2 linked regions of the Drosophila melanogaster genome follow. The gene in region 2 interacts genetically with the main gene of each other region. Each region holds a gene or a part of one and is shown on either strand. Other genes may lie near its edges.

Evidence for each region.
Region 1: of Ephrin (region 2) and meigo, changing one suppresses a phenotype caused by changing the other (phenotypic suppression), as found in Drosophila melanogaster (one study listed by BioGRID).

What each region holds. Positions count from the first base shown.
Region 1 is NT_033777.3:21,136,370-21,141,009, reverse strand, and holds meigo (medial glomeruli), read right to left. Parts: upstream 2,741-4,640; 5' UTR 2,522-2,740; intron 2,456-2,521; 5' UTR 2,150-2,455; coding exon 1,945-2,149; intron 1,893-1,944; coding exon 1,431-1,892; intron 1,321-1,430; coding exon 971-1,320; 3' UTR 645-970; downstream 1-644. Other genes in the region: Usp8 (ubiquitin specific protease 8), read right to left, coding at 3,160-3,490, 3,547-4,001, 4,065-4,295. UniProt on the Drosophila melanogaster protein: Probable sugar transporter.
Region 2 is NC_004353.4:569,716-574,909, reverse strand, and holds the start of Ephrin (ephrin), read right to left. Parts: upstream 3,156-5,194; 5' UTR 2,739-3,155; intron 1,298-2,738; 5' UTR 1,162-1,297; coding exon 482-1,161; intron 1-481. Other genes in the region: ND-49 (NADH dehydrogenase (ubiquinone) 49 kDa subunit), read left to right, coding at 4,215-4,306, 4,377-4,501, 4,567-4,676, 4,734-4,935.

The sequences.
Region 1 (4,640 bases), on a different chromosome or scaffold from region 2:
AATTTTTGCATTTCGATTGCTTTTCTTTGCAATTTTTATTGCATTTTCCCGCTAATACTGGGCATATCCTTTTTCCAACTTTCGCTTAATTTCGCGTTTGTGTTTCCTTCCGTTCCGTTCCGAAACTCGAAACATGCGTTCTTTTATTTTTCGGAAATTTTCGTCCCGATTAGTTTATTGTATAATTAGCATTGCGCACACTGGATTTATACATTTTAAAAACATTCTGAAAATTTCGACCGTATCTGCAACGGCTACGGCAATAAACTAGAGTTGCCAGGGTCGGCAAAGTGATCCTATCGATTGTTGCCAATTGATTCGTCGCGGTATCGATACAACTAATTTGTGTAGTCTTTTTTTCATATTATTACGGTTTATATAGTAGCTAACACAATATTAAATCTTATTTCAGTATAACACGAAATTGATATTTTATCTTGGAACTCGAGTTTCATAGCATCTTACTTTTGCCTATGAACGTAGTTCACATTTCGTGTAAGGTGGCAGCTCTGATTTAAGCGCTTTAAATTCAAGTTAAAGAAAATACAAAAAAAAATGGGAAAATATTTATTAAACTGAGCCAGAAAATAAGTTGCCTTTGTTAGGCCTTCTTAGTAACGTTCCATATAAATAATACAACCATTAATAAAAGAGCACGTTTTAATTATAAATTGTAGCATTAAATGATTGAATGATCCTGTATGTTAGAGACCCGCAGGTCTGGTGTAAACTTTTGCACAATATTTGTTCCTTTTCTAATAGATATCAATAATTTAATTAACTTAAACGACGGTCTATGGGTTGCAGATCAAGTATCGAATGCTGTGTTCGCTATAGCTAGAATCCTTTGTACGATAAGCAGTTCTAGGAAATGGGGAAACTTTGGCGCTGCAGCCGCTCGAGCCGGAAGCATTGTCTTCTTAATTTGTGTATGTACAGTACATAGGGCTATGCAATCATCTATCAAATTCTACGAATTCAGTTTCTTTTCCTCGGATAGCTTTCCCTCGACTGGCGGCTTTTTGGCCGTAGCCAGTGGCGCCTTCTTGCCGTACAGCATGTCCACAAAGAGTGCGGCGAACACCAGGACAGCTCCAAGCCACTGGCGGGCAATCAGGACGTTTCCGAACAGCAGAACGGAGCACAGGACGGTAAAGAACTTTCGCGTCGTCGTAACCACGGAGCAGGCCAGAGGTCCAAAGCTGGCCACCATCAGAAAGATGAAGAACTGACCGAGCACGCCGCACACAGCTATCAGCGATAAATGGGTCCACGCCTCGGGATGTCGGATGGTGAAGTACATGAATTCCTTGGCCTCACCTGAAGATTTTTTTTATAGTTTTTCAGAACATTTATAAAAACGTATGGGGCTTACATAAAAAGGTCTTAGCCAATATTTTTAGCTCAAATAAAGTGTTTTTAACACTCACCTGTAAATACCATGGCAACGCCAAGCATCAGGGTGCTCCAGAAGTTCATGGCCCTCATCATCTGCTGACCGGAAGGCGCGCTGGCCGCTCGGATGCGTTCCTGAACGGCTCCAGTCAATCCGTCCATTGACAAACTGAGGAAGAGCAGCACCTCGCCGAGAAGCGTGGTCTCAGCCGGCAAATTGGACACCTTGCCCTCCTTGTACATAAAGAGAATAACTCCCAGGACAATGGTCAATACGCAAGCATAGCGCGTCCAGCTGTAGGATTTGCGACCAATCAGCACGCCCAGGATCATGACGGGGATGGGCTTGGCGGATTTACCCACCACAGCAGTGGGATAGGGAACCCAGCGCATGGCCATATTGGTGGAGACCATGGCCAGAAGATAGGTCAGCGAACAGGCCACGTAGGAGCCCGCGTTGGTGGTGTCCTCCTTTTGCGGCCTAATGGTCAGCAGCACTGGAAGACCACAGATCAGAATTGATTCGTTACAAGTCCACGTAATCCTTACCCTTGGCAAACACATAGTTGCAGAGGCACTGCACCCAAACAAGGGCCAAGGCGTAAGTGAAGCGCTCTCCCACGGATCCATCTGTCTGTACCTCCTCGCCGTAGCGGCCCCGCGTCAACTTCTCCTGGACAATTCCGTACAAGAAGTAGCATACGAAGATACCGACGGCGTAGATCACAAAACGGCTGCGTTCCGGCAGATTCATGGCGGGCAGATGACGGTTTTTAAAGCGTGTGACTTGCGAATTGGTTAAGTCGGACTTAATGCACGATCCTAAACAGTTGGCATTCTCTGGAGTCGCGGCTGCAGTGCCGTGATTTGGCGTTGACTATCAAATAATCCAATCAAATACGTGGTCGGTGCTGCCGCTTTAGCTGGCTACTAGCCAGATTAGATTAAGTGATTGCAAGCACCTGTATTTTTGGCCATTTTTTAGGTGCACTGTTATAGCTATGTTCTTCTTTTGAATCATCAATTTCATCATCTTATTTAATAAGTTTAAATCATAACTCTTTATAAATGAAAAATAGGGCATACATAAAACACTATAAATGTAATAATTGATAAATCAACTAACTAGCTATTTATTGAAAGCAAGAGTTGGCAACACTGCATTTGCTAAAGAGCGGGGGCGTTTTACAGTGTGACCGTTAGTTGGAAGTGAATATATTTACTTATCGGATATCTCGAATTGAACTTTTCGGCGCGAAAATTAGCTGAATTTTTCTTTGCAATGGTAAAATAACTTTCACCCCCTTTTTTATATTATTTGTTGAGTGTAAAATACCCGCTCTCCCCAATTTGTTTTCTAAAAACCCTACGCATGATTCTTTCAAAGAAATTCTTTGTATCAGAAATTGAATTTCGTTTATTTGGTTTTAAAATATATTTGCAAAATACAATAAACTATAGTCCCGCATACACAGGCGTATATGCGGGCTTCTCTTTGTTACACTGGTAATGCACTTGAAGTTCTTGGTTTTAGTGAATGCAGCCTGCACCCATTGAAAATACGCCCACGCGTAATACTGTTCTAAGAGCCTAGACAACAACAAACAAGCGATTATCCTCTTAAATAGCAGTTAACAGTTAAGCGGTAATTTGTAAATGATAAAAGGGTGTGGCGACTAGACCTTAAAAGCTATAATATGAGAGAAAAACAAAAAACAATTAAAACGAAAGGGGTAAAAACCGAAAGGAAACCGAGCGAAGCGTCTACAGAGGCACCTGCATGGGTGGCAGCCAGGTGTAGAAAAGAATGTATGCAGCGCTAGAAACCACGTTAGAGGAGTCCAACGCCGAGACGACCTGATCGTCGAACTTGAACCATTTTCCGTAGTTGGCGCTCTTGCAAAATGCCGTGTAGTGCCCGCCTTCCATGGTGCCGTAGTGATTGGATACGGCGTACAGCTGGTAGGTCTTAGGTGTTACCGCCCGCGATTCCGCCCGTGCTATGTAGGGATTCATGTCCAAGTTCTCGAGCGGGAAGCGCAAGTAGTTCTGCTTCTTCATGTACGAGCCAGAGTTACTGGGATCCGCATAGAAGCTATGCGGGATTTAAGAAATTATAAACAAGCATAGCATAGTGTTAGCATCACTTACCGCTTAAGATGCACCACCAGCACAGGTGGCAGCTTCGATATATCCAGCTTCTTGATGGCATCTCTTTTCGTTTTACAACTAGGACAATTCCAGCCATGGATCCTTTCTCCACTGAAGTACATGTCCATGCACTGGTTCAGCTGACATACATTCGAGTTTGGCGGCAGCTCCAGGCTGAGATTAGAAAAACTCTCGTACGTGGCGGACTCCTTGTGGCAGGCCACACATTTCACAGTGCTCTTCATTTGGCCATAGAATAAATGCAGAATCATGCTCTCCTTCGCCTTGGTAAATTCCAGCCAAGCCTTTTCCGACGCACTGATCATCTCCCGCTGACGGGGCACATGTAGGGTCTGGAGATCCGAGTGCAGCCAGTCCATCAGGATGGTGAGGAATTCGTGTGAGTCCTGCTGGTCAACGCCGCGGAAGATCTTCTGGTACTGGCCCACAACGTACTGCAATGAAGTATGTTTAGTTTAGAAAGAAATTTGGGTGTTTTTTTTTTTTCAGTTGCATACCCTCAAATCTCGGCTGGCCACACACTTGTACTGTCCATTCCAGAGCTCCTTGATGAGTGCAGCCACCTCTTCGATCACCTGGCCATTAGTCTTGTTGCTTCTGCTGATGTAATTCTTGTATTTGTCCGAAATGCAGTACTCGGTCAACTGAGGCGTGTTGCTCAGGCACTGCAGTATGCTGTTCATATAGCAGGTGTTGCCCAGATTCTTCAGTCCAGTCAGTCCACGACCCTGAAATGTTATCCAAGGATATAGTTAACTATTCGGAGATAGAGGAAAATAAAATCTATAGCTATTACTCGTCTCAGCGGAAAGATGGAGCTATAAATGCTGTAGGTGGGCGGAGCTGTTGGCAGCTGGAGCCTCACGCCCGCTACACAAATCATTCGCGGAATCCTGTATAATGCTATTCCTGCTTAACAGTATGGCAATTGTACGTTTCTTTGGTTTGAACATGCTTTGAGTGCGGACGTCGAGCGACTGAGAGTGGGGGTAGAAAGCGCACCAAGAACGGCGCACGTCTGGGCGGGTGTCTTCAAAACGTGACCCGCTGGCTATTGATTTGACTCGTGTCGC
Region 2 (5,194 bases):
GATATGGATATGTTTATATCGAGAAAGAGAAAACCAGACAAAATGAGTAGGCCATATATGCCCTGATGCGATTACCAAAAAAGTTACTAATCATGATCCTTAGGGATCAATGGGATCGCCTAATCATCGTCTGCTCACTTGCACAACAAATTATGACAATAGTTATTCTATCGAAAATGACTCATGTGCATTACTAATTGCTGGGAAAGTTTATAAAAGCCCAGCGTGTTTATACGCGACATTAGGGATTAATTTATCAATATATTATTGGCCAGCAGTCTTATTATTGGAAAGAAAATTTTATTTGAAATAACAAATCCCCTAAACGAATAATAATAATCCTCATACTACTGACTTAAAAACTGTAATAATTGTAATAAAACATAATACATTTGTAGAGAAAAATAAAAATCTACAATTTTTAACTTCAATAAAATTATAATACCGCTGCTTAAGTATACCACTATATTTGAGTACTTACATACTGTTCGATGTGTTCCAATGCATGTAAAAAGTCTTGGCGCAACTAGACATGGTGGAGAGCAAAACAGTTTCCATACAAATTAAAGTGAGCAACGTAACAAAGGATGTGGCACCAAACTTTGGAAATGGAATCATCATTTTGCATCTCATTGGCGATGGCTGAGGCGAAGATAACAAACAGTTTCTGTTCTTAATCCTCTTTTTACCAACAAAATGCCGTGATGCCTTTGATTCTATCCCTGCTTCCACCAGTACTGATGAATGCTTCTCGGGTGGTTGTCTTTTACTCGGTGAATAAAGCGGCTTGAGATTGTTAAAACCTTGAAACTTGCTTTTGCTCTTAGACTTTCGATGCATAGCTGGTTGCTGTTTATTCGTTGTCGTAAGCGCCTTATGTCGAATTTTTGGGATACTCTCAATACTTCCTGGCACGTACAGCTTAATGCTTAAAGGTTTTCCAGAGTATAGCTGAACTTTATGTTTCTCCTTTTGTTGCTGATGCCGGTGAGATTTGCAATTGGGGAAAGCTACTGGTGGATGTGAGTCTTCAAGCACTTTACTGGTAGTTAAGCGCCTCTTACATGCCAACATGCTCCGACGTTGACAACTGTCATGAATCTGAGACTTTGACTGGGTCCAGGAAACAGTAAGACGCAGTTGCTTTGATCGTTCTTGCATACCGCCAGCAATGTTTTCGATGTTAGATCGTTAGTAGCTTTCTTGCTAAATGCATACAATAAACCTCCGAAATAAGAATATGTTGACTGGCTACATCTACATCTGTGTCATTCCGCACCAAAGTGTCTTGCTCCATCTGCAATCAATAAAATAACAATTTTTACAACAAAACGCTGTAGCCGTGTACGAATTCTGGGCATAAAAAAAAAACACTGAAACTGCAGTGTAACTTGTAACATGATTTTCTCACTTTGGACGGTATAGTTACGAAGCGCACCAACAGACTAAAGACTACTATGCGGTTTGGTTGTTTACTTTACCCTTTAAAAGATTTCTTATAAATGAGTAAATTATATGTAGTGCGTTATAAAGTCAGGTGCAATTTAATTTTTGATGACAATAGTTAAATAATACAACTTTTGTGCATATATATCACTATATAAATATATATGCATATATAGGAACAATCCGAAAAAATTAAATTGAAAAGGCCGTTAAATTATTGTTTCTTTTTCATCTGTGATTTAGGTCTAGTATTCTTTTTAACGTAGACTTAGTTTTCACCTCTTCAAGATTAAATTTTGATACTGAAAATGAAATTGATATAATACCTAGGGTTCTTAGAAAATTTAACCCGACTTTTTTAGAGCGGAATTATACTTTTCAATTTATCTCGTCAAAAAGTTTACTAGGCAGTTAAAAAAGAAACAATACTTTAACGGCATTCTTTTTCGACCCGTATATGTATATGAACTACAAAATAAAAGGATTTCAACCTTCAATTCGAAGGTCGTTTGGCAAACGGAAAGAAAGACAAAAAATATATCGACATGGCTGTGTAAACTGATCAAGAATATGTGTTCTTCTATTGACATTTCCTCCTTTACTTCGTTGACAATCCTGACTGAAATTAGTTTACCCATTGCAAAATCTAACTACATATTATATCTACTCATTCTAAGCTTTGAGATCATTACGCGTTAACATTTTAATGTAACAGTAGCATATTATGCGTATTTATATTTTTATGTAAAGTTTATACAAGTTGATCTTTAAAACAAACAGCCTAAGACTGAGGGATCCTGTTTGCGCCGCGTTCGGCGGCAGTCGGCGAAATAAGCAGCTGTTAATGCTGATCAACAATATTTATATGTTGACTACCGCCACCTGACAGATTACGAGATTTTTAAAAGTACTTCGCTTTAACTTTGGAAACCGCCTAATTGATTTGATTCGACCCTGATTGATCAAAAATACTTATTTAACAGGCCGGCAAACCAATTATCAATTTAAGTGGGATACTACATTTTAATACATGTATGGTACATTTTCTATACAAACAGGGTTGGTAATGGCTTGGCGAAATATTAATATATTTTTTAACATTCATAGTCATAAACAATCAACATGGCATAAGATCAACAATATATAGCGGATCTGCAGTTCTTGACATTCAATTTATAACGGAACAATCAATATATTTCTTAAAAATTGTATGTTTAAGTGATAAAACATCCCAACAGCATTATACAATTACATATGTATGTATACACCAAAAGACATTTCTGTATACATACACAGTGACGACACACTCTCCGAGGAGACAGAAGAAACTCTATATATACACAAACATCTTACTCTCGGGGAAACATTCTTATTCGATACGATTAACAATCCGGTACAAATATGTTGGTATAACATAGTTGACATATAAAAACACAAAATATACATATATGCCCATAACACCGTCTTCCTTTTTTGGTACATCTTTTTCAAAATTACATTTTCACATGATTAAAAATTGTTCCAAACAGGTTTTTGTCTGAAGAGAAATACTCGAAAACAGCTCATTTAAATTAGTTTTTTCTACACTTGGACTACATACAAGAATTATTTATATAAATACTGTAGAGCTAGAGCTATAAAAAAAACTTGTTTAGAGCTGGAACAAAAAACGATGTTTACTTTAACTTTCGATGTATAAAGAAACTTAAGGGCATCGATAATTTTACAAATCAATCGATAGCGATTTTTTTCCAAAGGCCCGTATAATCTTATAATATAAGTCAAATGGTTTGGTTTTTTTTTTTTTTTTTGAATTTAACATATGCGAATTTCTACTATAAGTAATATTCACAGTAAAAACCATACCATATTGATAGGAAACTGTCTTATAAAGATTTTATTTGACATTTGTTGTAGCAGAACCATTATGTAAGTTCCTAGTAAATTTTTTAGCTAGGCTTAAGCACTATTTTATGTTTTAAGAATAATTTTATAATTATTAAAATTTATCTATTACCCGTGTCGAACCTATTTTGATTGGTGTAAGAAGTTTGAAACCCAGTGAAAGAGTTAAGAATTTGAAGTAAATATATATATGGTCAGTATCAAGAGCCGAGTCAGCACTACCGTCTGTCCGATCATCCGTTTTTACGTTACTATCTCTTAGCACCGGTTCTTGACTGCATAAAATTTTTGTTCAAGTTAAAAGAGTTTTCATAATTTTGTTTTCTTAAGTTTAGTCATCGGACGAAAAGTCCAGAAATCAATTGTTAATTAAAGAATTTAAATAGTTTCGTTGTTTTTAGTCATTAAATGTCCACATTCGCTCTGCTGAGATACTGCTAAGATATATAAGTTTAGCCTTGCAGAAGCTATCATTATTATCTCTAGTAATTATATTTTTATAGTGCTCCATTAACGCAAAATTCGCTTCATTGGGATGATGTAAAATTCAGGTCTTCGAAAAATTAATTGCAATTATTGTTTATAACATTATATAAAGATAAATAAAAACTTGGGTAAACGAGCAGGATGACAAAGTGTGTAATATATATAAGGGAATTTATGTGTTTTGCACTTCATTTTCATGAAGCAACAACCTGCGATATATTATTGGTGTAAATAGTATATAAGCTGTACGAGATTCGGTGTTTAAAGTAATTTTCGATATTTTTTGGATAGAATTCCGATTGCGGATAACTATTTGGTTGTATTAGATTCCTGAATTGTTACTAAAGAAACATAAATAGAGGAATTTGACTATCAGGATGGCCAATATAATGAGAAGAACGTTGATTCCTGGACTTTCACACTTGAGGCTGCGGCCACAACTTGTTGCAGCTGGATCGGCCGCGTTAACGTAAATAGTAAATGCTTACATAATTCGAATATATCATTTATATTTGTCCAATTGGAAACTCGTTGTTTAGTTCTCAGGAGACGCGACGGGGAGCAGCCAAGTGGTATCCAGACCCTGAGTTCATGAAGCAGTTTAGCGGCCCGGTGATGTATCCAGACGAGGTCACATCACTTTGGACAGTGCCACCATGGAACAGTTAGTTGGTAACCCAATATTAAACTGACCCTTGAACTAATCGCTTGACTTACCTCCTCTACTAGGCAAAGTAACGCCTGTCGAAAAGTCGGTGCGTAATCTGACCTTGAACTTCGGCCCACAACATCCCGCCGCCCACGGAGTCCTTCGTCTTGTGCTGGAGCTGGATGGAGAGGTTTAAGCTGTTAATCGACCACAGGTCTTGTGTAAATTAAAACCTCTGTTATTGCAGACCGTTATGCGTGCCGATCCGCATATTGGGCTGCTGCACCGTGGGACCGAAAAGCTCATAGAGTACAAGACATACACCCAGGCATTGCCGTATTTTGACCGGCTGGACTACGTCTCGATGATGTGCAACGAGCAATGCTACTCTCTGGCTGTAGAAAAACTCCTTAATATTGATGTGCCTCTCCGTGCTAAGTACATTCGAAGTAAGAATACAAAGTAATTTTCTCTTGCTCTTGACTTTGTAGTCATTAAGAAGATTTCAATAGTTTCGCTTTTTTAATATATGTATATATATATTATAATTTAGCATTGTCACCATCGCCATAAATCTTACGCAACAAAATCTTTTTAAAAGTTCTATTTAATTTTTGATTACCAAAAAAAAAATATTTTAAATTTGGGTTTGATTATTAAAATTATTTTAATCTAAAATTTAAAGTGAGATGAAAAAGTACCCACTAT